Linked DNA regions of Stegostoma tigrinum. The protein of the gene in region 4 interacts with the protein of the main gene of each other region in a pairwise test. Links are inferred from orthologs where the notes say so. Each region holds a gene or a part of one and is shown on either strand. Other genes may lie near its edges. The genes, in order: ubiquitin thioesterase OTUB2-like, dtx2, ubiquitin-associated and SH3 domain-containing protein B-like and fam168a.

What was found.
Region 1: the proteins of fam168a (region 4) and ubiquitin thioesterase OTUB2-like interact in binary tests that used the Homo sapiens proteins (3 or more experiments, as listed by UniProt). The two-hybrid records come from large-scale screens. The link is inferred for Stegostoma tigrinum from reciprocal best matches to the Homo sapiens genes FAM168A and OTUB2.
Region 2: the proteins of fam168a (region 4) and dtx2 interact in binary tests that used the Homo sapiens proteins (3 or more experiments, as listed by UniProt). The two-hybrid records come from large-scale screens. The link is inferred for Stegostoma tigrinum from reciprocal best matches to the Homo sapiens genes FAM168A and DTX2.
Region 3: the proteins of fam168a (region 4) and ubiquitin-associated and SH3 domain-containing protein B-like interact in binary tests that used the Homo sapiens proteins (3 or more experiments, as listed by UniProt). The two-hybrid records come from large-scale screens. The link is inferred for Stegostoma tigrinum from reciprocal best matches to the Homo sapiens genes FAM168A and UBASH3B.

Annotation. Positions count from the first base shown.
Region 1 is NC_081363.1:25,975,580-25,983,499, forward strand, and holds the start of ubiquitin thioesterase OTUB2-like, read right to left. Parts: upstream 3,403-7,920; 5' UTR 3,383-3,402; coding exon 3,269-3,382; intron 1-3,268. UniProt on the Homo sapiens protein: Hydrolase that can remove conjugated ubiquitin from proteins in vitro and may therefore play an important regulatory role at the level of protein turnover by preventing degradation.
Region 2 is NC_081380.1:9,059,849-9,067,552, reverse strand, and holds the start of dtx2 (probable E3 ubiquitin-protein ligase DTX2), read right to left. Parts: upstream 3,317-7,704; 5' UTR 3,195-3,316; coding exon 2,855-3,194; intron 1-2,854. UniProt on the Homo sapiens protein: Regulator of Notch signaling, a signaling pathway involved in cell-cell communications that regulates a broad spectrum of cell-fate determinations.
Region 3 is NC_081385.1:4,780,483-4,788,022, forward strand, and holds the start of ubiquitin-associated and SH3 domain-containing protein B-like, read right to left. Parts: upstream 3,465-7,540; 5' UTR 3,195-3,464; coding exon 3,067-3,194; intron 1-3,066. UniProt on the Homo sapiens protein: Interferes with CBL-mediated down-regulation and degradation of receptor-type tyrosine kinases. Promotes accumulation of activated target receptors, such as T-cell receptors and EGFR, on the cell surface.
Region 4 is NC_081359.1:91,583,082-91,591,654, forward strand, and holds the start of fam168a (protein FAM168A), read right to left. Parts: upstream 3,440-8,573; 5' UTR 3,326-3,439; intron 1-3,325.

The DNA.
Region 1 (7,920 bases), on a different chromosome or scaffold from region 4:
TACATAACAGAAGGGAAGAGAACACCTTAAGAGCATGGAAATCAGTTCTCAGAAGGAAATAAGTGTTTTTTAAATCCACAAAGACACATCTATGCATTGACACGAGTAAAGATCCAACATATAAATATGTTGTAATCAATGCCTAGCTCGTATTCCATGAATTATAGTTTACAAGTAGAAACACCAGAATTGATTGATTCTAACTCCTCTTGAAACAAACATGAATGGAACAGCAACTAAAGCATTAACCATTGAAGATGACAGGATTTCACAGAAATATTAAAGGATGCACAGGAAACAGGATAATGCCTTTAAAGAATAATAAAATGAGGGGTTGGTAGAATATAATGTGCAGGCCATCTTCATGAAAAAGTAGTCAAAAAACTACATTAATGAGCATTTTCATACCATTTAGAAATAGTCTTTAGAAATAATGTAAAGCAGAATTTCTTTTCCTAAAGTCCATCTATTCAGCATAAATGCTGGTTATCAGAGATAAGACGACCACAGACATAGGAGCAGAATTAGGCCATTTAGCCCATTGCGTATGTTAAACCATTTGATAGTGGCCAATAATGTTTCTTAACCCCATTCTCCTGCCTCCTCCCCATAACCCTTGATCCCCTTACCAAAGAAGTACTGATCTATCTGTATTGACCTCCACATCCCTTTGCAGCAAAGAGTTTCACAGATTAACCACATTCTGGTTAAAAAGATTCCTCCTCATCTCAGTTCTAAAGGGTCATCCCTTCACTGTGATGTTGTGCCCTCATGTCCTAGTCTCACCTATTAGTGGAAACATCCTCTCTGTCTACTTTATTCAGACCTCTCAGTATTCTGTAAGTTTGACTCAGATCCCCCCACTTATCCTTCTAAACTCTATTGAGTACAGACCCAGAATTTTCAAACACTTGTCATTTGACAATCCCTTCATCCACAGCACGATTCATGTAAACCTCCTGTGCACCCCCTCCAATGTTAGCGTATCCTTCCTTAGGTATGGGGCCCAAAACTGCTCTCAATATTCCAAATGCAATCCGAGCAGAGCCTCAAATAGCTTCAGCAGTACATCTCTGCTTTTGTTTTCTAGCCCTTTTGAAATTAATGCTAACATTGCAACCACCTTCCTAACTGCAACTGAAAGGTTAACAAAATCCTGGACTTGGGCTCCTAAGTCCCTTTTCTACTTCAGGTTTCCGAGGCTTTTCCCTGTTGAGAAAACTGTCTATGCCCTTACTCTTCTTACCAAAGTGCATAATCTCACACATTCGCACAGTGTATTCTGTCTGCCATTTCTTTGCCCAACTTCCTAGCCTGCCCGAGTACTTCTGCAACCTTCCTGCTTCCTTTACTACCTGAAACCCCACTTACCTTTGTGTGATCTGAAAATTTAGTAACAATATCTTCAGGTCCTTCATCCAGATCATTAATGTATAACATGAATTGTGATCCCAACACAGACCCCTGCTGAATTCCAGAAGTCACCAGCTGCCAAACTGAAAAAATAGCCCTTTATCCCATTTCTGTCAGTCAGACAATTCTCTATCCGTGCCAATACCTTGTCCCTATATCACAGCCTCTTCTCTTATTTCGTAGCCTCCTGTGTAACACCTTGTCAAGGCCTTCTGGAAATCCAAATAGATCACATATACTGGCTCTCCCTTGTCTGACTTCAAAGAATCCTCACAAATTTGTCAGGCATGACCTCCCCTTGAGGTCAGACTAACCAGCCTACTGTTTCCTACCTACTGCCTCCCTCCCTTCTTAAAAACAATGGTGTTACATTAACCATTTTCCAGTCCTCTGACACCTTCCCTGACTCAAGTGATTAAGTGTAGAGGTCACCACCAATGTCTGCCCAATCTCCTCCACTTTCTCCTTCAGAACTTTGGAATGTAGTTCATCTAGCCCAGGCAATGAGCAAGTCCAGGTCTGGTTCAGACCTTTCACCTTTCCTCGCACCTTTTCCTCAGTGATGGCCACTACACTCACATCTGGCCCAAACTCTGTCAAAGTTTAAGCATGCTGTTGGTGTCTTCCACTGTGAAAACAAATGCAAAGTACCAATTCAGTCTCATTTTCCAAGGATCTCATGTCCGCTCTTGCCTCTCTCTTAACTTTTAGATATCTTAAAAAACCTTACCATCTTGTTTTATATTACTAGATAGCTTACTCTCATATTTCATCATCTCAAATAGCTTCGGCAGTACATGCTTTTTAAAAGGCTTCCCAGTCCTCAGGCTTCCCAGTAATCTTTACCATTCTATGCTTTTTCTTATGAAAGCGAAAGCAAAAGTAAAAGGCATACAATGTGGTGGAGATGAGTGGAAAGTTTATCAGAAATCATTCTTTACTGACCAGTGCATCTGCGACCTGAAGAATAAATTTGAACACAGCACACCTATATTACAATGTACAAAGAATCCACGAGATTACAAGACATCAGTTTTAGGGCACGGGTTGGAACACCCTGAACTACTGGACTTTGGTTTCAAATCCTCATTGGCAATCCTAGTGAGAGACTGCAAGAAGGTGTGAAAAATAGAAATTTCACAATGGCTGATATTAGGATTTTGGGATATTATTGGAGTCTTGATCTAGAGCAAGAATTTGAAGGGATACCAAATGAAGCATTTGTAAACCCCGAAACAACACAACATTTGCTTTGTTAATACAGCATCACTTAATTAACAAACTGTATAATACAAATAAAAAGAAAATACATCATTGATCCTGACCACCAAAGCAAAGTGTGCATCAAGTTCATGATGTGACTTCATCAGCAGACCTGAAATGTTAACCGTCAATCCACAACTGCTGCCAGACAGACTGACATTTCCATCAGCACTCGCAACATTTGGAGAAATTATGTTATCTGCCCACAACACATTTCCCCCTAGTTTAGCGAAGCACATCTCACCTTAAATTCTCACAACTTTTTGTAAAACTCCTGCACAATTTAAAGACAAGCATATCTTTTAAGTTCACTGCTTTACAGCAGACGGGTGAAAGCACAGAAAGGACATATATCTTGGTCAGCAGAACTGGTTACGTTTTCCCTAGCTTGGTGTTGTGACAACGGCATCTAACCTACAAAATCTATCGGGGAGTAGTGGCCAACAACCATCCTGTTTCATCCCAACCCATCAATCCTGTAGCATCCATTCTCAAAACCACCCTCCCCCAACCATGCTATGGGATTATGTTTAACTGCTCACAGTGGCAGGAAGGTGGGTGGGGGTAAGGAGAAGGGAGCGAAAGGACGAACCCCCAGACTTACTGCACCATCCATTGCACCCACAGTGGAGGAGAAAGAGGAAGGGTGAGCACTGAGCTCCTGCCGTGCACTGAGATGCAGCACGGGGCCCCGCGATTGACACATTGCTCAGGGGTGGGACGTCACCTAGCTCCGCCTACCCCGCTGCCGGAAGTGACGCGTGACATGTCACAAGCGGTGGCCCCGCCCCCACGCGGTAGCCGCCGTTCCGTTGCTTTCAGGCGGCGGCTCAATCAGGGCAGCGTACTCCGAAGGTTGAAGACGGTAGCCCAATCGGAGCATCGTGCGCCTGGGGGAGGAGGCGGAGATCCAAACAGAGCGAGGGAGAAGGCTGCAGTGAAAAGCGTGAGCGTGGGAGGCGGTTTGATCAGTGCAGAAGGAGGCTGGGGGGCGGAGGTGTTCCAATTGGTGCAGCAGCGGGGTGCGGTGCCTTCATACAGTAAGGGGGGGGGGGGGGGGATGTGGTCCATTCAGACAGCAGGAGGCCAAGTGGGGAGGCGGTCCAATCAGAAGGCCGGAGGGCGAGGTGGGGGTGAGGCGGTCCAATCAGACGGCAGGAGGGCGGGGGAGCGGTAGTGTACCTGGAACAACGACAGAAGTTGCTGGAAAAGCTCGGCAAGTCTGGCAGCTGTGAAGATAAAAAAAATCCGAGTTAACGTTTCGGGTTCGGTGACCCTTCAGAACTTCCTCAGTGCCCCTGGTTCGTGCTCCTCGGGCTGTGGGCCGGGTGGAGGTTCAGGTACCACGAAGGTAGTGTCTGGCGCACTCTGAACTCATTGCAAGCTGGTGCGTTTGCTGCCCTTTGACATTGTGGATGACATTTGAGCGGCAGTTTTAAACCCTGTTTAATTCGTAGAAACATTGAAATAGGAGGAGGCCATTCGGCCCTTCGAGCCTGCTCCGCTATTGTTCACAATCATGGCTGCTGGTCCAACTCAATAACCTAATCCTGCTTTCTCCCCATAACCTTTGATCCATTCGCCCCAAGTGTTATATCTAGTCGCCTCTTGATACATTCAGTGTTTTGGCATCAATTAGTTCCTGTGGTAATGAATTCCACAGGCTCACCACTCTTTGGGTGAAGAAATGTTTCCTCATCTCCGTCCTAAATCGTCTCCCCCGAATCCTCAGATTGCGACCTCTGATTCTGGACACACCCACCATTAGGAACACCCTCCCTGCACCTACCTTCTCCAGTCCTGTTAGAATTTTATAAGTCTCTATGACGTACCCACTCATTCTCCAGAACTCCAGCCTGGTAAACCTTCGCTGCACACCCTTGAGTGTATGAGGATCTTTCCAAAGAGACCAAAACTGTTCACAATATTCTAGGTGTGGCCTCAACAAGGCCCTGTACAACTACAACAACACATCCATGTTCCTGGACTCGAAACCTCTCGCAGTGAAGGCCAACATGCCAGCTTACCTTCAGCAACTGGTGCACAGTCTCCTCTCCCAATTTAAAGCCATTCAGGTAGTAATCTGCCTTCTTGTTTTTGCTTCCGAATTGATTGGCGTCACAGTCATCCAAATTATACTGCATGTATAATGATCAATGTATCAAAGTATGTGCATGGACAAGTTGGACAGAAGAGTCTGTACTTCTGTATTCCTCTATGGGACTAAGTGGATGATGCAGGTTGTATTGTAAAGGAACTTTCTGAAGAAGAATTATATTGCACTCAATGTCAGTTCTGTTTTTCTCTTCACAAATGCTACCAGACCACCTGAGTTTCTCCAGCTTTTTCTGTGTTTTTTCTGATTTCCAGCAGCAGCAGTATTTATTAAAAGAGCGAATTAAATATGGCATTAGTGAGTGAGAAACAGAAATGGCTTCTTCACTAAAAGTATTGAAGCATGAAGGTGTTTTCAAACTAAAAATCATAACATTTACTAACTCGTCAAAAAACTAGCAAAGGAATTCAATGAAAAACTTATAAGTGAGAATATAAGGAGGTGGAATCCACTTTGTAGACGATGTCTGAGGCTAAATGCACATCAGAATAGGGAGCTGCTGCTGGTCTGATATTGAGGAACGTGCGTTAAAATTGTCTTCAATGGTCTTCAAAATTGTCAGAATCGTCATCACCCTATAATCACTTAAGTCTACTACAATTTCAGAGTTTATAAGACTTTCCTAAAATATCAGTGAATATCAGAAACAATTATTTTGCCAGAGATGTTGAGAGAGAGTACTAAAATTCTAAAGGCTCTATGGTTCAACTTGCCAGAATGTGTGTAGAAGCTCAAGCTTGAATTTTTAAAAATTCAAAAGGAGTTAAAATGAAGCTGGAAGATTTACCTTGCTCGCTCCAGAAGGAAGATCTCCAGTAACATTCTCACTGCAAAGATGTTAGCGGGTAGATGAGGGAAAAAATACAGAAGTCTCAAGAATCATTTGGACTGATTCTGGGGGCACTGAATGTCCATTTAAAAGACAGTGTTATGTGTACCAATGAAGTGTTTTTGCATTTAAAACAAGAAACGTATTACTCCCTGCATTTTGAAGTATAAGTTGTCAACAGTGATAGTGTTTAATTACTCAGACTTTCAGCCTTTTCATTATAGTGAACATCTTGAACCACATAGTATTAGAGTACCATCCTTTCAATCATTAATTGGAAATTCATATTGCTTTTTAAAAGTTATAAATACATACCAATATCCAAATATATGGCTCAAATCCAAATATATGACCCTAAGTCCAACAAAGATTTCAAACAGCTAGTTGATGTAGACATTTTATGGGACAAAGCAGCTCAATGTTGTAACAGAAGACCAAAATTGCTAAGATACCACCTCTGCTAAAAACTACCAGGTTGTGATATATCATGATTAGAAAGTGGCAAAAACAAATTGTATCCATGAAATCACATCAGCAACATAGATGGGACGCCTATGAATTTTGATTTGCCCTACATTCAATCCGTAGAATGCAAAGATGCAAATTCATCTCCAAACTCTGAGACTTAGGACTCCGCTCGTCACTCTGCAGCTGGATCCTTGAATTCCTGACCCACAGACTGCAATCAATAAGCATAGTTGTCAACACCTCCTCCACAATAATCCTCAACATCGGTGCCCCTCAAGGTTGCGTACTCAGCCGCTATACTCCTTATACAAACGATTGTGTGATCAAATTTGCTCTAACTCTATTTACAAGTTTGAAGATGTCATCACTGTAATAGAATGTCTAGGAGTTAGGACATCATGTTGCAGCTATTCAAGACATCGGTGAGGCCACTTTTAGAATACTGCATGCAATTCTGTTGCCTTCTATAGGAAGGATGTAGTTAAACTTGAGAGCATGCAAAAAAGATTGACAAGGATGTTAAATGTCCATTGTATCCGGTGTGGCTTCCTCTACGTTAGAGAAACCAAGCGGAGGCTTGGGGACCGCTTTGCAGAACACCTCCGCTCGGTTCGCAATAAACAACTGCACCTCCCAGTCGCGAACCATTTCAACTCCCCCTCCCATTCTTTAGATGACATGTCCATCATGGGCCTCCTGCAGTGCCACAATGATGCCACCCGAAGGTTGCAGGAACAGCAACTCATATTCCGCTTGGGAACCCTGCAGCCCAATGGTATCAATGTGGACTTCACCAGCTTCAAAATCCCCCCTTCCCCCACCGCATCCCAAAACCAGCCCAGTTCATCCCCTCCCCCCACTGCACCACAGAAACCAGCCCAGCTCTTCCCCTCCCCCCACTGCATCCCAAAACCAGCCCAGCCTCTCTTTGCCTCCCTAACCTGTTCTTCCTCTCACCCATCCCTTCCTCCCACCCCAAGCCGCACCTCCATCTCCTACCTACTAACCTCATCCCACCTCCTTGACCTGTCCGTCTTCCCTGGACTGACCTATCCCCTCCCTACCTCCCCACCTATACTCTCCTCTCCACCTATCTTCTTTTCTCTCCATTTTTGGTCCGCCTCCCCCTCTTTCCCTATTTATTCCAGAACCCTCACCCCATCCCCCTCTCTGATGAAGGGTCTAGGCCCGAAACGTCAGCTTTTGTGCCTCTGAGATGCTGCTTGGCCTGCTGTGTTCATCCAGCTTCACACTTTATTATCTTGACAAGGATGTTGCTGGGACTAGACGGTTTCAGTGATAGGGAGAGCTGAATAGGCTGGGGCATTTCTCCCTGGAATATTGGAGGCTGAGGAGTAAGCTCCTAGAGTTTTATAAAATCATGAGGGGCATGGAAAGGGTAAATAGCCAAGTTCTTTTCTCTATACTGGGGGAGTCCAAAATTAGAGGGAATGAGTTTAAGGTGAGATGGTACAAATTTAAAAAGTGGCATCTTTTTCACGCAGAGGGTGGTGCTTATATGGAATGAGCTACCAGAGGAAGTGGTGGCGGTGGGTACAATTACAACATTTAAAAGGCATCTGGATGGGACTGTGAATAAAAGAGGTTTAAATGCTGGCAAATGGGACTAAATCATATTGGGATGTCTGGATGGCATGAATAAGTTGGACCAAAGGGTCTGACTCCATGCTGTATGATTCTATGACTCTATATTTCAGGCACTTAGAGATTGTGCAGGAACCTGCTTGAGTTACAGACAGGGTTAGTGGGGTATTGGCGGGGGTGGGAGGGTGGTGGGGAAAATCTTGTTATCTTGCTGCAAACTCCATCC
Region 2 (7,704 bases), on a different chromosome or scaffold from region 4:
TGGGCATCAGGGTGGCACACAAGCCCACATTAACCCCACGACAACTGCTCACCCAAACTAAAGACCTACTCCCCACCAAGGACAGGACCAATATCATCTGTAAGATCCCCTGCAGAGATTGTGAGAAACACTATATTGGACAAACAGGAAGGAAACTAACAACAAGGGTACACAAAAAGACATGACCAATACGCACTCATCGCAATCCACATGGATAAGGAGAACCACCAATTTGACTGGGACAACACCAAAATCCTGGACAAGCTAAGCAGCGTCGGGCACAGGAATTCCTAGCAGCCTGGCACTCCACAAAGAAAGCCATTAGTAAATACATAGAACTCGACCCCATATGCACTCCACCTCGAAGGAAAACTGCAAGTGAGACAATCCAGCTCAAAGGACTCCAGAGTTTAAAAACCAGGTGGGAAAACACATCGACACTTCATCTGAGGCTGCACTGCATGGTAACGAAACGCCTGCGGAACAACAAACTAGCTCGGCGAGCCAACCAACTTCAACAGGGAAATATGCCTGGAACCCTAGACAATATTTATCCTTCGCTACCAGCAAAATTAGTAGGCCATCTAATTTTTGTTTTTGGGATTTTACTACAATAAAATGATGAGTCAAGGCCTGCAGAAGGGTCAATGGGCTTAAAATGTTCACATTTTCTCTTCATGGATGCTGCCAGATCACTGAGATTCTCCAGCAATTTCTATTTTTTGTTTGTCTGTTGTGTTTGGCAAAAACATTTAAGTACGAAAAGTAATGCAAAGAACTTTGGGATTTATGTGATATGAAAGTTACTACAAAAATTAACATTCTTGCAATCTAATGCAAGACAGGTCTCAAGTGTTAAAGAAATCCTTTAACATTAACTGAATGTACTGTTACGGTCAAATTACTGGTCTTGTTAATCAAACTCATGGGCAAAAACTCCAACACATGGAAAAAGCCTCCAACACAACTAGAATTTAACAAAATACATGGCAGCTCATGTTAAAAAAAGTCAATAAATCCAAAGTGTTCAGGTCCAGATTGTATTTCAGTTTAAAATAGAAGTCAAAATCCTAAAGTAACTTTATTTGCTCTCTTTTCATCCACCCAAAGAAAGCCTGTTTGCATAATGCTCTGCAAAACTGATTCCTTTTTTCTCTCCTGTTTCAATAGACAAGCCAAATAGATTCTTTCCTGCCAGATTTCAATATCAAGATGAAGCTGTAGAAAGTTTCTAAAATTGAAGACCAAAAACTGCAATTTCAACATAACAATGATGTCTGAGGGGGCATTAAACTTTCTTGACAGCCAGCTTTAAGGTCATAAACACCTTCAGTTTTCTCGTCATGCATGAACAATCAACAGTCCCAATGTGGAGGAGCCACTGACAACTTTGTGAAAGCTCATCTTTACTTCATGTGTTTGACTCATTTCTCACGTTAACTTTGCAAAGTCTAGCTCTAAAATCACAAATGAAACATGGAATCTTATTTTTGACTTGAGAAAGCATACATTTGTCTTGCTTCTTTTCAGACTTGAAAAAACCTGAAAAATGAATCATTCCAAACTACAGTAAGTTAGCACATTTCCACAACACGCAGAACATCAAAACTTAAAGTCAGTGCTAAGACCCCAATTTCCCTGAGCCACAGTTGCAATTATGGGAAGATATCAAAGATAAAGTTCCAACTATCTTTGTCAATGAGCTCATTAAAAACAAAGTCAGCATTTGGTGCCCATCCCTTGTCATCCTTGAACTGAGTGGCTTGCTAGGCCATTTCACAGGGCAGTTAAGAATAAACCACACCGCTGTTGATATGGAGTCACACGCAGGCTGGGTCAAGTAAAGGTGGCAGGCTTCTTTACAAAAAGCAATTAACAAACTACTTAGGTTTTTAAAATAATCGAGATTTGTCTTATTGGCATAATCAGTTTTTGAATTACTTAAGTGAATTTAAATTCCCATTGCTGTCATGGAATTGGAATCCATTTCCCTGGAGCCAAAGCCTGGGCTTCTGGGTTACTAGTACCTTACCATCTCCCCTTGAAATAGAGAGAGAGGGGGAATCTGACAAATATATACCCTAATTACAATAGCAACTATTACCAAGGTATTGAAATGATTAGTCTCACAGTTAAATATTAACAATTACCTATGTTAGTTTTAGTAGCCTAAACAAACTGTAGTGCTGCAGAAAAATCTTTTAACCTTAATATAGTATGGCTAATATTTGAGAGAGAGTAGGAAGTGCAGATGCAAGAGAATCTTAGATAACAAGGTGTAGAGCTAGATGAACACAGCAGGCCAAGCAGCATCAGGAAGGTTGACGTTTCGGGCCTAGACCCTTCTTCAGAAATGAGGGAGGGAACGGGAGTTTTGAAATAAATAGGGAGAGAGAGGGGGAGGCGGATAGATGGATAGAGGAAGAGGAGAGAGACCGATCAAAGAGGCGGGAATGGAGCCAGTTAAAGGTGGGTGTAGGTGGGGAGGTAGGGGCGGAATAGGTCAGTCCAGGGAGGACAGGCAGGTCAAGGGGGCGGCATGAGATTAATAGGTGGGTTGCTTGGCCTGCTGTGTTCATCCAGCTCTACACCTGGCTAACGTTTGATTTCTTTTCGGTGATATTAGTTTTTGAAAACACTGTTTCTTAGTCAAAAAAACCTCGGGCTTAAATCGGCAAAGCAATTTACAGAAGAAATGCAAACATTTTAACAAATAAATCTGCACCTGGAGCAAACATTTAGGACGACTGAATGAATCACTGATAGCAACACCAAAAGTGAAGCTGAAGATTGTAAATAATCAGTATGTGATTAAATCTTGCTGACACTTTTGAGAGCGAGGGGCTAGTCTTACCAGTGTCTTGTCGGAACTGGGTGAGTGTGGGGATATCGATGATGTAGGGAGCCAACCTGGGCTCGGCCTGGCCCAGGGAGATGCTGTTGATTCCTTTAGCTGTCGCCGCAGCCGCTCCCTGCAAATGCTGGAGGTTGCGCTCTATGTGCTCGCTCACCCGGCTGCTGTAGGGCCTCCAACGACCCGCCTCGTCTTCCCACTCCCACACGGAGACCAGCGGACCCAGGCCAGCTCCTGGGCCCGACACAGAGAAAGGGGTGACCGAGAAAGCCGAGCCACTGGCACCGAGGCCCCCTCCTCCAGCAGCTACCCCGCCATTTCCGACGCCCTGACTTGCCATCCTCGTCCTCTCTAAAGTGGATTTACGAGTTTGTATCGGCTACAACAACAAACACCGAGAACTTTCCGATTCAAACTCCTCCCTCTCACTGTTTTCCTCGTCTCCAGGGTGTCAACGCCAGCGCTGCCTTCTGGGAACTGTAGTCCTTTCCGGCCAACAGCGCCGGAAGCCTAGCTGCTGTTTCACTAGCTGTGAACAACAAATCCCATGCGACCCCGCTCCAGCGAGCGCCCACTCTTGACGGCTGGTGTCAGGTGCGAGTCGAGAAATGAAACTTGGTAATAAACTTTTATCGGAATGATAGTGTATATCTGGCGGGGGAGACTTAATTACACAGGCCACATAAAGTGAACTCTGTAATTATAAACATCACCAAGGTTTCAGCAATACCCACGTGTAAAAACAAAATGCATAATCATTGTAAAACACAGTGCTGGAGAATTATAAAACTCCCAACAGTCATACTAAACGCGAAACGTTAACTTTGTTTCTCCTTCCAAAACCAGAGTTTCTCCAACACTGTTTTTATTTCAAAATCTCCAGAATCCGGGTATTTTGATTTTATTTGAGTGCATAATCCACTTGGCACGTTTAGGAATGAATAAGCGAACCGCTGCTCCCATTTGTCTACTTTATTTCATGCTCCTGTCAACGCTGGTTTCGCAGACGCACATTCAATTCGGGGTCATGCTAGAGCACAATAGAATAATTGTACAGGGCTGATGGGAAAATTCGTGTCCGGAAGATTATTTCTAAGGCAAATTATCATTTGGAATGAATGCTGCGTTCACGAAGACAGCACAGACTGGTACAAGGGGTAGTAGTAACATCCTGGTAAATCCAGTCAATAGGTGCAAATACATTTATTTCTCTCCCAAAAACTTATGAAACGATGATGAGAATTAGACGAGTTATAAATCTGCAGGGGTATTTCTTTTAAATCCGATATTAAATCAATATAGCGTCATTGTGGTACAAAGAAACATCTGGGATTTAAAAAAAGGTAAATCCACCTTCGAAATTGACTAGTGTTTCATTTAATTGTATTCTGTGCAGTTTTTTTCAAAATCACCACCTTATTTTTCTTAAGTGGTGCTACGTTCACTTAAGCAGCTGTATTATCTAATTATTCCAGCCATATGCATTTCAGATCCTTACACTAATTCAGTGTCTTTTTAAAAAATACGTGTCTCTGCTTCTATTTATGGTACCATACTTCAGAACTACTGTGGTCTTTTAGCTGGATCTCTTAAGATTTACCTTTGCAAACTTGTCAATGACCACAACATTCCAAATGGTTTACAGTGAATAAAGGATCTTTTAAGCAGTCACTTTGATAATGTAGGAAATGTACAGCCGTTTCCACACACCAGGTTCCCACAAACAGAAGTATCATAATAATGATCTCTATTGTTAAGGATGTTGAAAGGAAAGAAAAGTCAGAACACAGAGAGAACATTCCTGTTCTTTCCATGGGACAATGGGAACTTTTACTTGAGATGATAAGGCGACAATTTAAAATCTGACTAATTGGGGGAAAAAGCCTCACAGTACTATGCTTGATGTGTCAATTCAGATTACGATTTTCAGAGTGAAATTTAGACCCACAACTTCTGAGTCAATGAGGAAATTGTTACAGTTTGAGTCATGGCTGGTTTAAACTTACATCCTTTTTAGCCCACTCAGGCAGGTTGAGATTCCGCAGCATGAGATGTACATAAGAAAGTTTTAATGCTTTATATAACATTTACTTCTCAAATAGCAGCTTTATCTCAAAAAATAATTTTTATTCATCTCATTGTACAATTTGGGATCTTTCTGCGTGCATTTTGATGTCACATTTACCAACAAAAGTATGAGGGTCCTGTGTTGTGGTGTTAGTGTCACTATCTGTGAATCAGATGGTTTGGGTTCAAATTCCATCTGCCCTGCAAATGTATTACAGCATAATTTGGCTATAAAGTATTTTGACATGTCAAGTGGACCTAAATAACTCTGTACAGTGCAGTTCTTTTAGAATTTGTGTAATTATTTTTAAAAATCAGTGTGCAAAATAAAATTACAGTGAAAGGAATAGGCCTAAACAGGGAAGTGATGGCTTGGTATAATTATACTAGACTATTATTCCAGAAACTTAGCTAATGTTCTGGGGACCTGGGTTCAAATCCCACCACAGCAGATGGAGGAATATGAATTCATTTAAAAAAATACTAGAATTACAGATGTAATAATCACCATGAAGCCATTGCTGATTGTCAGAAAAATTTGTCTGGCTCACTAATGATCTCCAGGGAAGGAAATCTGCCATCCTCACCTGGTCTGGCCTACATGTGGTTCCAGACTCACAGCAATATGGTTGACTCTTAACTCCCCTCTAAAATGGCCTGGCAAGCCACTCAGTTCTTGGGTGGTGAGTAATGACCAAAACTATGTCCCATGAGTGAATAAAAACAGTTCTAGAATTATCTTTTCTATGTTCCCCCTCCCTCAAGGGATAACATTCTGTTTGAGTTTCATGTTGAGACCATTTGTGCAATAGAAAGCAAATAAACCTAATTACTCAATATTTCATTATCAAACTTACTATACCCCAGTGGTTTGCTGTGATGGCCAGGAGCTGGCTACAAGATTGGTGATCTGGAAAGTAATGGTTTTGGCAAGGAACTGGCAGAGACAAAGGGGATAGTGACCAGATGAAATCAAAGAAATGTCCAGTAGTAAAGACAGGTGAATGGGAAAGACAGAGAATGACTTCAAAACGATACAGAAAGAATACCTGTAATTTTATGGGTGGCACGGTGGCTCAGTGGCTAGCACTGCAGCCTCACAGCGCCAGGGACCCAGGTTCGATTCCAGCCTCGAGTGACTGTCTGTGTGGAGTTTGCACGCTCTCCCCGTGTCTGCGTGGGTTTCTTCCGGGTGCTCCGGTTTCCTCCCACAGTACAAAGATGTGCAGGCTAGGTGGATTGGCCATACTAAATTGCCCGTAGTGTTTAGGGGTGCGTGGGTTATAGGGGGATGGGTCTGGGTGGGATGTTTCAAGGGGCGGTGTGGACTTGTTAGGCCAAAGGGCCTGTTTCCACACTGTAGGGAATCTAATCTAAATTGACCACAGTGTTCAGGGATGTGTAGGTTAGGTGGGCTATAGAGAGTATGGGTCTGGGTGGAATGCTCTGAGGGTTGGCGTGGACTTGTTGGGCTGAAGGGCCTGTCCCCACATTGTAGGGATTCAATGATTCTTAATAACTTATCTTAAACAAAGTTAAATAAATATTGACTTCAAGCAATATAATTCAGCAGAGACATCTAGAGGTGATAGCTCACAACTACAAGCAAACAGCTTTATTTTGTGATAATGGGAACTGCAGATGCTGGAGAATCCAAGATAATAAAGTGTGAAGCTGGATGAACACAGCAGGCCAAGCAGCATCTCAGGAGCACAAAAGCTGACATTTCGGGCCTAGGCCCTTCATCAGAGAGTCTAGGCCCAAAACGTCAGCTTTTGTGCTCCTGAGATGCTGCTTGGCCTGCTGTGTTCATCCAGCTTCACACTTTGTTATCTCAGCTTTATTTTGTACTTGCTACCTGATGAGAGTACGATGTGACAGTTTGCGGGACACTCATAAAAGTGCCTTGTGTTGCTCACTGATGTGTTGAAGCCTCTCACAGGGAACCTCTATTGTTGAAAGAGGACAGGGATGAAATGTCACATCAGAAGGTTGAAGGACTAATTCCCCAATATCTGAGAATCCTTGATCAGTTGTCCAGCGTCACCTACAATATTTGATGTGTATATTAGTTGTAGTAACCCACCATTAGGATTAATAGTATTAACACAGTAATAAATATACATTAATTGTAAAATATAAACAAAGTATAACATGTCAAACATAAACATTAATTATATAATTAACATTCATAGTTTACATTTTAATTATTAATAAAGTTAATGATATAATTTAGGATAATTTATTTCCCAACCGCCAACTGAAATCCCTGGTGATTGTGCCCGCACGTGTCCTCGAACAGTCCAATGAACCCTGGCCCCGTACAGGCAGTGATAGTCATGTATGGCAAAAAGCTGGACGGGAATTATTGTTCCAATTCACCTCTCTCCAAATACTTGAATTAGTTCCAGTGTCAAGGATATAGTTAAATGTGAGATGTCCCAAGTGAAGGACATAAATCTCTGAATTCCAAAGAACTGTACGAGGGTGTTGTTCAATTTAAGCCATTTCAATAAAGCTGAAGTGAACAGCTTTAGATCCTGCAGTCAGTTCCAAGATTGCTTGGTCTAGATGTTTACATTTTATAACTCTTTCATTCCACGCAGTTTCCAATGCTTTACTATCATTCTCAAATTGAACTGTAATACAAACTATCATAGTTTCTTGGTCTTTTCTTGAAGATCAGATTCCAGTTTCCATAGCGATCAGTCTGTCATTCAACCGCAGCTCATTGTATGTCATCCATCCAAACTTTTCAACATGTTGTTGTTACTTGGCAGTGG
Region 3 (7,540 bases), on a different chromosome or scaffold from region 4:
ATGCCCAGGTCCCCTTGCTCCTGCACCCCTTTTAGAATTGTATTCTAATATATTTTCTATGTCTTCTTATGTTCTACGAAATGCATTACTTCATACCTCACTGCATTAAATTCTTCTGTGAAACAATCATCTGTTTCACCAGTTTATCTCCAGCCCCTTGAAGTTTATCACTGCCCTTCTCACAGTTCACAATCCTTCCAAATTCTGTGGTCATCAAGATGTGCACATCCAAGTTTAGATCATTCATAAAGATCAAGAAAAACAGTGATCCTACTCAACATTCTCTAGGGAACCCTACTCAATACTGTCCTCCAGTCCAAAGAACGTGCATCTGTACATGCTCTTCCCTGTCACTCAATCAATTTCATATCCAGGCTGTCACTATCGCTTAAACTTCATAGGTTTCAATTTGTTGACAACACTAATGCGGCACTTTATCAGAAATCTTTTGCAAGTCTCCATACATTACATCATTGTATTGCTTTAATCAGCCCTCTCTGCTAGCTCAAAAAAAAACTAAATTAAAAAAATTGAAAAACTGGGAGCGACCTGATTGCTCAGCGGTTAGCACTACTTCCTTGCAGTGCTGGGGACTTAGGTTCAATTCAACCCTTGGACAACTCCACCCACTGTGTGGAGTTTGCACATTCTCCACATGTCTGCATAAGTTTCCTCCCATCGTCCAAAGATGTGCAGGTTAGGCAGGTTGGCCATGGGAAATGCAGGGTTACAGGGATAGGGTAAGAGTCTGGGAGGAATGGTCTTTGGGATGGTCAGCATGGACTCACTGGCCTGCTTCCACACAGTAGTGATTGTATGATTGTACCTTAGTTAAACAATGCTGCCTTTCTCTAAATGCCTGCCTGACTGAGATCAGGAAATCATTGTATGGGAACAATTGACAACCACCCCCCTCCCCCAGAGTAAGAAATCAGCTCAGCATTGATGCAGCCAAAGTCCTAATAGGATATCAAATCCTGCAGAAGTTCTATGATTGCAGCTTCACATCCCCTGTTACAACGGACGATACACCAAATGGCAAAATAATGAAAACAGGCAAATTCAGGTTAATAGAGTGGTCATTGTACCCAACAGGGAAGCTGGTAAGGCTGATGAGCAGGCAAAAAGAAATCCTATTTCCACAGTGGTATCAGAGATAATGGGAACTGCAGATGCTGGAGAATTCCAAGATAATAAAATGTGAGGCTGGATGAACACAGCAGGCCAAGCAGCATCTCAGGAGCACAAAAGCTGACGCCCGAAACGTCAGCTTTTGTGCTCCTGAGATGCTGCTTGGCCTGCTGTGTTCATCCAGCCTCACATTTTATTATCTTCTATTTCCGCAGTGGCTGTTTTATATTAAATATAAAAGTGATTCAATAATTTTAAAACTGAGGGATTCCAAGGTAGTGCCAGAAGTTGTAGAAAGACAGGTTTGTTCCTTCTCGCGAAGGCAAAATCATTTGTTTTCAGTTTTCCACTGAAATAAATCATTGGTACAGTCACAGAATGCAAGCTCAAAAACTGGTAACATTGCAAAAGCAGAATCTGACTTTGTGGCAGAGTGAGACCATTCAGTCGATCTTGTCTGTGCTGAGTCTGAAAGTTATTCAATTAACCCCACTCTCCTGCAGTTTTCGCCCCCTCCAGCAAGCATTTATACAATTCTGAGAATTGCAGAATCTGCTTCTATCACCTTTTTTAAGATAACACATTCTAGATCATAAGTCGCTACATTTCAAAATGTTTTTTTTCCGGAACTCCTCTCAGCGCCTTTGACCCAAATGATAACTCTGGTTACTGACTCCTGCTAGTGGAAACAATGTCTTCTCATTGTGGTATGTGGAGTCAATGTAACTCCCCAACAGAAGTTCTCCACTTGAGGAGAATTATAAAAAGTTGTGGTATTCCAGAAAATTGCAGGTGCTGCAGGGAGTGGAGAGAAACATTGTGTATTCTTTTTAAACTGAATTTTAATATAGAGAATATTAGTGCAGGATGTCAACGCGTTGTTCTGTAATACAATTCTTTAAAAAAAAAGAGTAAAGGAGCCTTTCTGTGCTCATGGACTCAAACTATTTGCTTTGGAAAACCATGTCTAGTTGGGGAAAAGATTTTGCCGCATTCACCTTTTTAAGAACAGCTTGCAGGGAGAGGGAGAGAGAAAGCGGCTTTCATTAGTGGTTTGAGAAAACAGTAGAGTGCACAGGATTCTATGTTCATTCTGGACCGAATGCAGAACCAACTCATTGTAAAAAAAAGAACAAATATATTAGAAATACGCAGGGGGTTCATGAAAGGTCATCGAGACCTGAAAATGTTCACTCTGCTTTCTCTGCACATATGCAGCCGGGTCTACTAAGTATTTACAGCATTTTCTGTTTCGCTTACAGCAATATGTTTGCTTTGTTTTCCTGGAAAATTTAGTTCCCTCGATTTTAAAAAAAAACAGCTTTCAAAAGCAACCCCTTAACCAAAAAAAGGGAGGTGGAGGGGGAGGGGGAAAGGAGTGTGATTGAAACAGACATATCCCGAATTGGGAAATCCTCACAGCCCCGGGACTGCACACTTCTCAAAACCTTTCTGCAGCCTCTGGGTGACCGGCAATAAAACTGCAACGGAGCCACTCCATTCGGTTCCAGAACAAACCCGGACCATCACCCACCTTCCTGCCTGCAGGCCTTACATTGCAGTTTTGTTATTGTGTGTGTGTGAGAGAGAGAGAGAGAAAGGGTGAGAGAGCAGCCAGTTTATATCTTATTTTTTCTTGTATTATATACGACGGGAGAGACAGAGAGACTGTGAAATGATAGCCTGTCATATGCCACACTGAACACTGGGCGTTTTTAGCGAACACTATTCCGTTTTAAACATGTTTTGAATCTCTAGGCCATGTGACAACTCCCTTCTCAACAATGTAGCAAGGTCTGTTACAGAAAGAAACGTTACATCAAATGGAAACACGGTATCAGAGCCAGCGCCATTTGGATACAGTAACAATGTGGAAGCTACAAAATAAAAAGAAACAAAGAAAGAAATAGATACATCTTAACTCATCCAACTTACGCCCGGGTTTTAGGGAATCCCATTGATAAAAAGACCTCGAGTGTTGACCCATGTTTAACGGTCCCGGGTCGGTTCTGCCTATTCTTTCGGGGCACAACTTTGCTGTAAAGCTCTTCTTTAGAAGCCATGGTATGCGAGATTAAAGTGCCATTCCAGACAAATCAGTCCCCGCATCTACAGAATGCAGACAGCGTCTTTCACACAACCACAGCTCAAGAGCGTAAAGGATCGACTTCCTGGTACATACACAGGGTCTAAAGTCACTCAGGCGATATTCACTTCAAACACACGTCGGAAGTCCAACCATCCCCTTGTTAAAATATTACACAAGCGGGCATGGAAGTAGCAAAGAAACGCTGCTACTGTAGCACTCGAACTGGAGACTTCTCTGTAACTGGCTAATTTATGAATGGGTCAGGGACAGTATAAACAGCTTCCCTCCCTTCCTCCCTTATATGGAGCTCCCAACCCACGCTGCCGGATCTGGATCTCACAGAAAAGTTCAGGAGCATTAATGAACTACCTACCTATCCAATAAGGCATGAAGTTTTTATTTAACGAATATTTCCTGAACTATTCCGGATGAGTTTATTAACAGTTTAATGCTATGTAATGAAAGTTTTTCCATACAGTTTTCAATTGTTAATTGGGGATTGAGCTCACGGAAACTGCATCAATAGTGAGTTTTCAAAATGAAGTGTCTGAGCCTGAGAGTTCAGGTCCCATGCCAGAGATTACAGCACAGAGTGCAGCGCTGAAGGAATGCTGCACTTTGGAAGGTGCCATTTTTCGGATGAGGTGAAATGTGAAACGTGAGGCCTGGCCTACTGTCTCAAATCCCAAGGCACTACCTGAAAAAGAACAGGGTAAATGTCTCTGAGATAGTAGGACCTGCCGATGCTGGAGAATCTGAGATAACAACGTGTAGAGCTGGATGAACACAGCAGGCCAAGCAGCATCAGAGGAGCAGGAAGGCTGACGTTTCGGGTCTGGACTTCAGAAATCTGAATTTCTGATGAAGGGTCCAGACCCGAAACGTCAGTCTTCCTGCTCCTCTGATGCTGCTTGGCCTGCTGTGTTCATCCAGCTCTACACCTTGTTATCCAGGGTAAATGTCTCTGGTGCTAACAACATCTGGAAACAGCTTGTGACCAGTTTGGTTGCCGTTTTTCTCACATTGCTACAGTCATAGCATTTTGAAGGCGCTTTGTTTATTCATTCATGGGTGTGGAGTGTCGTTGGCCAGCCAACATTTACCTGCCGGTCCCTAGTTACCCTTCAGCTTCCTCTTGAACCACTGAAGTCCATGTGCTGTAGACAGTTTCATAATGCCTTTAGAGAGAGAATTCCAAGATTTTGTCCAAGTGACACTGTAGGGATGGATATATATTTCCAAGTCAGAATGGTGAGTGGCTTGGAGGGGAACTTACTGCTAGTCGTGTTCCCAAATATCTGCTGCCCTTGTTTTTCGAGATGGAAGTGGTTATGGGTTTGGAAGATGCTGTCTAAGCAGCATTGATGAATAATGCATTGCATCTTGTAGATAGTGCACATTTCTGTTACTGAGTGTCTATGGTGGAGGGAGTGAGTGTTTGTGGATGTGGTGCCAATCAAGCAAACTGCTTAGTCCTGAATGGCTTTGAGTGTTTTTGGAGCTGCATGCAAAGTGTGGAGTATTCCATTAGTAATTGATGGAAAGGCTTTTGTGAGTCAAGAGGTAAGTTACTCTCCACAGTATTCCTAGTCCCTGATCTCTTACTTGTTGTTAATTGCTTGTTGGGTTGTGAGCATTATTGCCACGACTAATATTTCATTGCCCAGTGCTGATGGTCTTTGAGAAGACAAGTGATGACTCTGAGGGATCACTAAAGCTTGGGGCAGCCGCCACAAAGGTGTAATGGAGATAGCTGGTGGATTAAAGCATCTTAACCATAGTGTACCAAGGGATTAAGAACTGCAGAAATCCTTGGGTTGTGGCCTTTCAAAGAAAGTAATTGTAAATCAAGAGAAATGACAATATATTGAGGCACCTCAGTATAAACCATGGTGGATTGAGGATAATTGTACATCTTTTACACTTTCTGTAATTTCCCATCTGAATTGTTTTCATACCTGGGCAGTATATCTAATGTGGAATGCATTTTGTAAGTATTAAATTTATTACAGTCATATTGAATGCAACATGTTGTATTTCCAAGTCACAATAATTTTGTAAAATCTTTACAACTTTTATGAATAAAGTATACTTTTAAGGAATATAAAAGATGGTGGGGAGTTGCCTTTGTGATCCACTGCAATCTAGGTGATATAGGTACAGTGCATAATTTTGACACAGCAACAGTGAAGAAATGGTGATATAGTTATGTGTCATAGAATTCCAAGCCAAAATCAGAAATTGCTGAAAAAATCCTGGAGGTCTACAGAGAGAAAGCAGAATTAATGTTTCCGGTCCAGTGACCCTTCCTCAGAACGTGGTTATTGATGTTAAATTTAAAATCCACCAGGGCCATTCATTATAGCCTTGTGCAAACATGAACAAAAGAGCTGAACTCCACAGCAGAGGTGAGAGTGATTCCCCTTTACACTAAGGCAGCCCGTATTAATTTATGGCACCAAGGAGCCAATGGTAATTGAGGGAAAACTCTTTATCATGTGTAGTCATTCCTCACACAAAGATTGTGGTTCTCAAAGGTCAATTAGCTGAGCAGTCAGACATCATTGTAGGAGTTTCTCAGGTATGTGTCCTTGGCCCAACTTTCTTCAGCTGCTTCATTAATATCCATCCTTTCAACATAAGGTCAGAAGTTGTGATGTGCAATCACCAGTGAACAATGTTCAACACCATTTGCAATACTTCATAACCTGAAGCAGTCCATATCCCTGTGCAGTAAGATTTGGACAGCATTCAGGTTTGGGCTGATAAGTGCCGAGATATAGTCACTCCATACAAGTGCCAGGTAATTACCAATCCAAACAAGAGAGGATCTAAAGATCTTCGCTGGATATTCAATGGCATTACATTTGCTGAATCCCCCACCATCAACATTCCAGGGGTTGTCATTAATGAACAGTTGAACTGGACCAGACATATAAATACTGTGGCTATGAGAACTGGTCAGAATCTCAGAATTTTATACTAAAAATACCCCAAAGAACGGCAAAAGCTGTAAATCAGAAACAAAAACTGAGTAGGTTTGGCAGCATATGTAGAGAGAGAGTAGAGCTATCATTTTGGGTCCAGTGACCCTTCTTCAGAACACAGAATTCCTTCAATTCCCATTCACACCTCTTTGCTTGAGCTCATTGATGCCATAATTCAATGAGGTTATAATTGCTTAAGTGTCGTTTGATATCACCGTCTAGAAGGAAAAAGGCAACAGATACATGGGAATACCACCATGCAAGTTCCCGTCCAAGACACATACTGATAAGACTGCAGCAATTTTGAAAAGCAGTTCATCATCATCTTCTCTTAGCAATTAAAAATTCCTAATACGTAGCCCAGCCATCAAAACTTGCATCTCATTTAAAAATACAAAGAAAAATTGTTGGTGATACCTTCTATGGTTTTGCTGATGATTCAGAGGGGACTGATGGAGTGATATTTGGCACAATTGGAATTTCCTTGCTTTTTGTGGACAGGACATACCTGGGTAATTTTACCAGGAATACAAACTGGAGGGCCATCAACTCGGTAAAAGACCACCTGAAACTTGGTGTGCCTGAAACTTGCTGGTCTTCTAGTACAAAGGCTTGCCCTTGACTGAGTGATGCAGACTGGCACATTCCAAGGTTCAGGACTATGTTCTGAGGGGTGTACTAAAGCTTGGAACAGTCATTACAGAAATGCAATGAGAAAGACCAGCTTCTAAGACCCTTTAGCCATTGTGTAACAAGGGGCTGGATTCCCATAGAATCCCTCAGGCTGGATGCTTGTGGCTGGATGCATAGAGTAAATGCCATGTGTATTTCAATTGAATTGAGTCAAAAGAATTCAATGGAGAAAAGTCTAATTTTAATGCAGTTTCAATAATGTCAAATTTGTAATGCTTTGAAATATATTTTTAAATATTTTATGAATAAAATGCATTGTTGCATGAAGAAAATCCATATTGTTGGGTAGATTATCAGTGTTGTAGCTAAACCAAAGCAGCTTGACTAGGGACACAACTACATCTGGAACATAAACTTCAGTACGATTGCAAGAATATTGTCAGGGTCCAGAGCAATATCCAGAACCTTCAGATGTTTCTTGATGTCACGTAGAGTGAATCGAATTGGCTGAAGACATGCACCTGTGATGCAGGGAGCCTCTGTAGGAGGCTAAGATGGATCATCCATTCAGGACTTCTGGCTGAAGATGGATGCAGATGTTTCAACCTGTCTTTTGCTCTGAGGTGCTGGGCTCCCCTACCATTAAGGATTTAAACTTTGATGGAGCCTCCTCTTCTGGTTCATTATCCACTACCATTCA
Region 4 (8,573 bases):
ATTTGCATACACACTGAAGAAGAACTGTGTAGAGCCATAACACAGAGAAATTACTGGAGAAATTTGTGTGGAAACTGGAGAAATCACTTGGCCCAGCAGTATCTGGTAGGAAAACAGAGTTAACACTGGACTCTAAACATTAATTTTGATTTCTCCCAAGAAGCTGTCAGACTTGCTGAGTTTCTCCAGTAGGTTCTGTTTTTGTGCATTTCAGATCTCAAACTGTTGCAGTTCTTTTGTTTTATTTTGCATACAGAGATATTCTCCACTACATAAGTAAATTGGAGTTATGTTCACTTCAGTAACTCGGCTACATGGCCTATACCAAGTCGTACAGGGGCAGCACCATCAAACCAAGCCAAGTCAGCCAATTTTGGGTTGAAGAATGGTGGTGGGGGTGACAGTTAATTCAAAGGTGCACTTTCATTATGCAACATCGGATTATTGCAAGATCACAAATATTTAAATGTGAATTTTAAAATTTCTCATTTTAATAAAATGAGATGAAATTATTGTTACCCACAGTAGTTATGTCACTCATTTAATTGTTTGCTTACATAATGCTGTGTGCACAGCACACAAATTCAACTTCACCAATCTGCACATACCTTGCATAATTTATGAAAGCAGACACTAATGCTAACTTATACTCTAATCGCAAAGTAGTCTGGTGATTTATAGTCCTTAAATAATCTTCCTACATATTGATCAGTTTAGAATGGCATTTGGACTTCAAACCTATGTACATAATTGAGGGTTTAAAAAAAAAGAAAGGCATACACGCCCACAGAATTAGGTGCAATATTACATTTAACCAATTTCAGCATAACCAATCACAACATCGACAGTTCTCAATAAATCTAGTTCAGATCATTTCCAGGTCACAAACTTGACATTCAACTCAACACTCCCATTCTTGATACGAAATTGCAACCATGTAATTGAAAGATCCATGCCAGAGAGAGAGAGCCTGGACAAGCCAAGAAACAAAATCCAACTTTTGCAATTAAAGACCAGTGCTACAAATAACACCAACTAGATTGTTGTCAGACCTGTGGTGCTAAGGTGCTAGATTCATAAGGCAGGTTTCCAACATGTTCAATTGTCCCAGATAGTCCTGCAATAAATGTAAAAATCTATTTGGTCTAAAAATGAATCTGACGTTGCAAAGAAATTTGAATCTACCACATATTTCACTAACATGCATTCTTGTGTGCCAACTCAATGTAAAATGATTAAGGGAAATGTAATTTCTGACAAATTACAGATTGACATATATACAAATTGCATCAGTTAGGTGAAGAGTAGAGAAAATGGGCAGTATCTACTGCTACAGCTAGTATGCTGTAACAGTGAATACCTCTCAGAATGCTGGTTGTGAGGTTTAACCTGAAAGCAGCTAGTCTGTTCTAGAGGGTATGCCTCATCAAATGATCATAAAAAACTGGCAAGCGACTGAGAACTAGCAACCTACATTTTCTTACTGGGATTTCTATATTTAATAGAGATATGCACAAATTTAGGCTAGCTGACTAAAAACAAAATAGCTGAAAGTAAGATTTTTTTTCCAAATTGCATACAATCTAAAACTTGATTCAAGAAAAGTGCCAGCAGCAAAAAAATTAATTTGATGAAGCAAACGGTTTTACGCATGATCAACAAAATACCATTTTGGCCAATTACCCAAATACTGAATCAAGTGAACACATTTATTGAAGCCTTGTCATAGAAAAATACATCACAAGCCCAAAAAAAATTAATACAAACATGCCAAGCCCAGATGCGATACTGTACACAACATAAAGTTGGTGATAGTTTTCTTTGTGGATTGACAGCACATCAACACTATAGCGCAAGAACTCTTCTGGAAACCTTCTAACTAAAAATAAAATTCCAAACTATTTTCCTCCTTTTGAAGCGACCTAGGATCCGCTCAAAAGAAACCGGGGTAAACTTCTGACAGTTCAATGCAAATACATACACAAAAAAAAATCCGGATTGACGTGAGAGTTAACGCACTTGCATCAGAGAATAAGGAAAAAAAAACTGAAGGAATTTTTAGGCTCAAGAGACAATCGAAAGATCAATGCAAACTGCCCCGTGAGTTTATGAAAGCCTATCCTAAATATTCAAAAAGGGACAAATTAGCGGGGGAAGACCAAATGCGCCGAATAGCAGACGCATTGAAATGTAGTTGCCTTCATCCAAAAAAAATGATTTTAATGCCTTTCAGCTCTTACAAGCAGCAGCCATAACCCGTCCATTTTGAGCATTCGTATCATGCTTCCACACAACACAAATAAGGATTTTAAAAGTGCGAGCACCTTTTCGAAATTCAAAACACACGATTTTATACTGCACGTACAAACCGATTTTAAAAATCGCACCATATGACCAGTTTTTAAAAAATGGCTATGCGTCTGCAGCTCCGTCTCAGCAGAACGATCGCGACCATTTTCGCATTTTTAGTTTTTTTTAAGAGGACTGAGGACTAAGAAAGCAATCCCAAATGAACGACTGGATACATCAACGGTCATTCATCGACACTGAACTGGTGGACGCTTTTAGTTCAATTAGATGCAACCATGCGTCTGTAAGTAAACTAACAACGTCCATTTTAAAATAAAACAAAAAAAAGGAACAACTATCCCTTCCAGTTGGACCTGCCACAGATTGGAGAAAAGGCACGGAATGGAGAAAGAAATTACTGCTGCCTGAACTGAGTGGCAGTGTTAGGGAAAGAACATTTTAAAAACTTAAAAAGTTGAAATGCGTTTAAACGAACATTTTTTTATTAAAACATAAAAATTGGACTCCAACATGAAAATTGAAAATTTCAATTTATTTCCTAAATCGCGGTTATTTCCGCGCCTCATTGCATTCCTGAGGTGAGAGAGAGTAAAAACTCTTCATCTTATCTGGGAATAGGAGTCAATGAGCAAGGGAAGCCAAGCAGCAAAAGTCAGTCAACGCCAAACCTCCATTTTTATGATTACTATTTTTCCCTTCCACACAGAAACAATCCACCATCTCCCCCAAACAAATAAATCTCCGCAGCTCTTCCCTCCCCCACAACCGCCACCAATAGTTCATTAGTTAAAGTTGGAGGGGAGGGAATCAGCCCTGCCGCAATCAAGCCGCAGATTTCACTCACAAAAAAAACGTCCATCTTAAGAGAAAACCTCTTTTTATTTCTGCCTCTACTCCATGTCCCCTCCCTAACCCTCATAATGAACATACACTTTTCAGCTTAATGCTTAAACATAAAGGTGTGCTGAAGCTGGTGTGTGTACATGTATATAGGGGGATAAAAGGTGCTGCTTACCAGTAAGTACCGGACCGAGCACCTCCCTCCCTGCCTGCCTGCCTGTTGTGTATATTGCTCTCCCTCTCCGTTCCGCTCAGGCTCCTTCACAAACCGAACCCAACTGGCTGAGAGGGGCGGGGACAACGGCATGACGCCACGCCCGACACGCTCCCAGCCTCTTGCCACTCGCCATGACGCAGTCCGTATTACGCTACGCCCCGCCCCCTCAGCTCCAACTGTCAGTCACTGTGAACAGATTGAGCGTTACACTCTCCGGGGGTTTCACTTTTTGGAGTTGTGTCCGATAAGGATGTGGCTACTTGCTGTCTGGGCTTCTCGCTAAACATCCCGGCAACTTCCTCAAAATCGTCTTTGTGTTCCGAGTGCCACTCCGCGGTTTTAAACCTTTCGGATAATCTTTGTAGGTATTCAGGTAGAGACAGAATTCACGATTCAGTAACTGAAGTAGGCCCTTCGGCTCACCAGGTTCTCCTGCACCATTCAGTAAGATCGTGGCTGGTGCGAATTCCACATTCTCACCTTCGCCCGATAAGCTTTGATTCCCGTGAGTAAGATTTTATTCTGTTTTGGGACAGGGGCATCACTGGCTGCACCTACATTTATTGCCTGTCCCTAGTTGCCTTTGAGTGGGTGGTGGTGAGCGGCCCTCTTGAACGGCTGCAGTCGGTTGACTCAATACTGTAAGGGAGGGAATTCCACGATTTCATCCCAATGACAAGGGAACGAATAGCAATATATTTCAGTGATAGTAGGAACTGCAGATGCTGGAGAATCAGAGATAACAAAGTGTAGAACTGGATGAACACAGCAGGCCAAGCAGCATCAGAAGAGCAGGAAAGCTGACGTTTCTCTCAATAAGGTCTGTCAGAAACGTCAGCTTTCCAGCTCCTCTGATGTTGCTTGGCCTGCTGTGCTCATCCAGCTCTACACCTTGTTATCTAATATATTTCAGTGGTTTTGAGGGGGACTTGCTGTGGTGGTGTTCCCGTATAGCTGCTATCCTTGTCTTTTTCTAGTTGGAAGTAGTTGCCATTTTGGAACTCGCTAAGGATCTTTGGCAAATTTCCCGTACACTATGTACTGTATGTAGTATGCTACTCAGTGCCAATGGTGTAGGGAGTGGATGAGTTGCCAGTCAAACAGGCCACTTTATCCTGAGTGGTGTGAAGGATGTCATTGGAGCTACAATCATCCAGGCAAATAGGGAATATTCCACTGTAATCTAGACTTATGCTTTGTAGATGGTGGGCAGGCTTTGAGGAATCAGGACATTCCTCACTGCATTACTTCTAGCCAATGGCCTGCTGTTGCAGCCACTTATTTATATGACAAGTCCACTTAAGTTTCTGTTCAATGGTGTTTATAGAGGAGGAGTCAGAGAGAGTAATGCCTTTGAATGTCAAGAGGTTGTGGTTAGATTGTCTCTTATTGGAAATGGTATTGCCTGGCATTTGAGTGGCAGAAATGTTATCTACCTACTTCTGCCTCTGTTAACTTTTAAAACAGAGCAGTGCAAATCTTATTGAGAGAAGTGAGATAGTAAGAACTGCTGATGTTGGAGAATCTGAGATAACAAGGTGTAGAGCTTCATGAACACAGCAGGCCAGGCAGCATCAGAGGAGTCCCCATGCAGATGGCCTAAAGACTCTCTACTTCTTCCTCTCCCGCAAGCCTGACCAGTCCCCCTCCACTGACACCCTTATCTGCTTAGCCGAACTCATCCCCACCCTTAACAACTTCTCCTTCAACTCCTCCCACTTCCTTCATACAAAGGGAGTGGCCATGGGTACCCGCATGGATCCAAGTTATGCCTTCCTCTTTGTAGGACACATGGAAAAGTCCATCTTCCGCAGCTGGCCCCGTCTCCCACCTCTTCCTCCGTTATATTGATGACTGTATCAGCGCAGCCTCATGCTCCCATGAGGAGCTCGAACAGTTCATTCACTTTACTAACACTTTCCACCCCAACCTTAAGTTCACCTGGACCAGCACTGATATCTCTCTCTCCTTCCTGGACCTTTCTGTTTCCATCTCTGGCAATCACCTGGAAACCAATATCTATTTCAGGCCGACCGGCTCCCACAACTACTGGAATACGCCTCTCACCCACCTTCCTGCAAGAATGCCATCCCCTATTCCCAATTCCTTCGCCTCTGCCATATCTGCTCCCAAGGTGAGGCATTCCACTTACACATCTCAGATGTCCTCGTTTTTCAAGATTCGTAATTTCCCCTCTACAGTGATCGAAAATGCGTTCGACCGCATGTCTCACATTTCCCCCAACTCATCCCTCACAACCGCTCCCCACAATAACAACAAAGACAAAATCCCCCTCATACTCACGCATCACCCCACCAATCTCTGGATTCAACACTTCATCTTCTGCCATCGGAAATCGGACCCCGCTACCAAAGACATTTCCCCCTCCCCACCCTTATCTGCCTTTTGGGGGGACCGCTGTCTCTGTGACTCCCTTGTTTGCTCCACACTCCCCACTAGCTCAAACACTCCTGGCACTTTTCTCTGCCACTGCAGGAAGTGCTACACCTGCCCCTACGCCTCCCTCCTCACCCCCATCCCAGGCCCCAAGAAAACCTTCCACATTAAACAGATGTCCACCTGCGCATCTGCTAATATGGTATATTGTATTCTGTTGTTCCTGATATGGCCTCCTCTACATTGGGGAAACGAAGCAGAGGCTTGGAGACCACTTTGTGAAATGCCTATGCTCGGTTTGTGACAAACGACTGCACCTCCCAGTTGCAAACCACTTCAACTCCCCCTCCCACTTCTTGGATGACATACCATCCTGGGCCTCCTCTAGTGCCACAATGATGCCACCCAAAGGCTACGGGAACAGCAACTCACATTTTTCTTGGGAACCTTGCAGCCCAATGATCTCAATGTGGACTTCACAAGCTTCAAAATCTCCCCACCCCCAACCTCATCCCAAAATCAGCCCAGCTCATCCCTGCCTCCTTGACCTGTCCGTCTTTTCTCCCACTTTTCCGCTCCTCCCACCTCACTGGCCAACCCCAACCCCACCTCCTACCTACTAGCCTCATCCCCGCCTCCTTGACCTGTCTGTCTTCCCTCAACTGATCAACTTCCATCCTAACTCCCCACCCACACTCACCTTCATTGGCTCCATCCCCACCTCCTTGACCTGCCCGACTTCTCTCCACCTATCTGCTCCTTTATCCACCTTCCATCATCGTCTCCCCCCCCACTCTCTATTTATTTCAGCGTCCCCTTCCCCTCCCCAATTTCTGAAGAGGGGTCCAGACCTGAAACATCAATTTTCCTGTTCTTTCTTTCCTCTGATGCTGCTTGGCCTGCTGTGTTCATCCAGCTGTACACCTTGTTATCTGAGAGAAATGAGTCAACCTTGTGGGCTGAAGGGCCTGTTCTGTGCTGTACTGTTCTATGTTCTATGTTCTATTTCTTTCCTAAAAGCATGCCTTAGTTCTGGACTCACCTCAAGAGGAACAATCCTTTCTGTGTCCACTGTGTCATGATTTTTTTAAAAAATTAACCTGTTCAGAGATGTTATTAACTACCCCGCAGCAGGTGGGACTTGAATCCAGGTCTCCTGGCTCAGACGTTGGAATGTTACTACTGCACAACAAAGGCCTTGTCAGGATCTTATACACTTCAGTCAAATCCAAACTCCAGTGGAAACAAGCCTAGCCTGACCAATGTTTCCTGATAAAACAATCCATTAATTCAAAAAACCAATCTAATAAACCCTCTCTGTTGCATTTGCATATTTCCTTAAAAAGGAAACCAAAGCTGCTCACAGTATTTGAGCTGCGATCTCGCTGATACCCTATGCAAAGGTAAGGACGTTATGTTCAGTTCAGAACTACTCTTCTATGGATACCATTCCAATAGTGGCTTTCTTGATTACTTGCTGTACCTGCATACTAACTTTTGTCAGTTTTACAGCACGGCACATATTTCTCTCTGTACCTCAGAGTTCTGCAGTTCTCCATTTAAGTACCTGTCAATGAACAATGACATTTCCCCACATTAAATTGCATCTGAATGGGCTAAAATCTATCTGTATTGGTCCACATCTTTGTTTGTCACTTTTACAACATAATTTCTTATCTATCTCTTTGTCCTATGTAAACTTAGCCACTATGCCTTAGATCCTCTCATCCACATCATTGAGATAAATTATTAAAAATTGAGTGCCTAGCACAGATCCCTGTGAGACTCCACTCCTCACATACCAATCTGAAAAAGATCCATTTATGCATTCTTTTGTTTTCTACCAGTCTGCCAACCTTCTGTCCTTGCTAATATGGAAGTCTATAACCACAAGCTGCTGCATTGTGCAATATCTCATATTGAAACCTGTCAAATGTCTTCTCAGCATCTAGGCATGGTGCATCAACAGATTCCCCTTTATCCATAGTGCATGTTATTTCTTCAAAGATTTCCAATAAATTGGTTGAACATGATTTCTTTTTCACAACTCTTTGACTCTTCCCAGTTATCTGAGTTTCTCCAAATGCCCAGTTATAACTTCCTTAATGATCGATTCTGACACCTTCCCCACAATAGATGACATGCTAACTGCCCTTTAATTTCCTGTTAACTGCTTCCCTCCCATCTTAAAAAGAGGGATTATATTTGCTATTTTCCAAACTGACAGAATCTTTTCAGAATGTAACAAATTTGAGAAAATTAACAGCAACACATCTACTACTTCATTACTGAGCTCCTTTAAGATCCTGGGATGAAATCCATCAGGACCCAGAGACTTATTCACAGCTCCATGACTTTGCTAAGTACTACTTTTCTAGTGATTGGGAAGGCAGTTGAATGAGAGAAGGACAAACGAAACCTTTCAAAGGCTCCCTGAAGGGTTCCCTTAAGAAATGCAACATAAATGTCAACATGACGGAGACCCTTGTTTTTGAATAAATATTTTGATTTGGAGGAACATCCTGAATGAAGGGACAGAATTCCTCAAGAACCCCCATTGGCAATAGAAACATAGAAAAGGAACCAGAGAAAGAAATACCAATGATCTCAAGGCCAAAGCCCAATTCCACCTCCCTGACTCATCAGCCATGCAATGATCCACAGAGTCCATGATCAAAGACATTGAATTTCCTTGGTAGACAATCATGCTCTTTCCTGAATGTTTGTTGACAATGCCAAAAGATTTAACCAGATTCCCCTCTTCATTCAACCTCCCAATTTGCAAATATCCCTGGAGTGTTTAATGTAT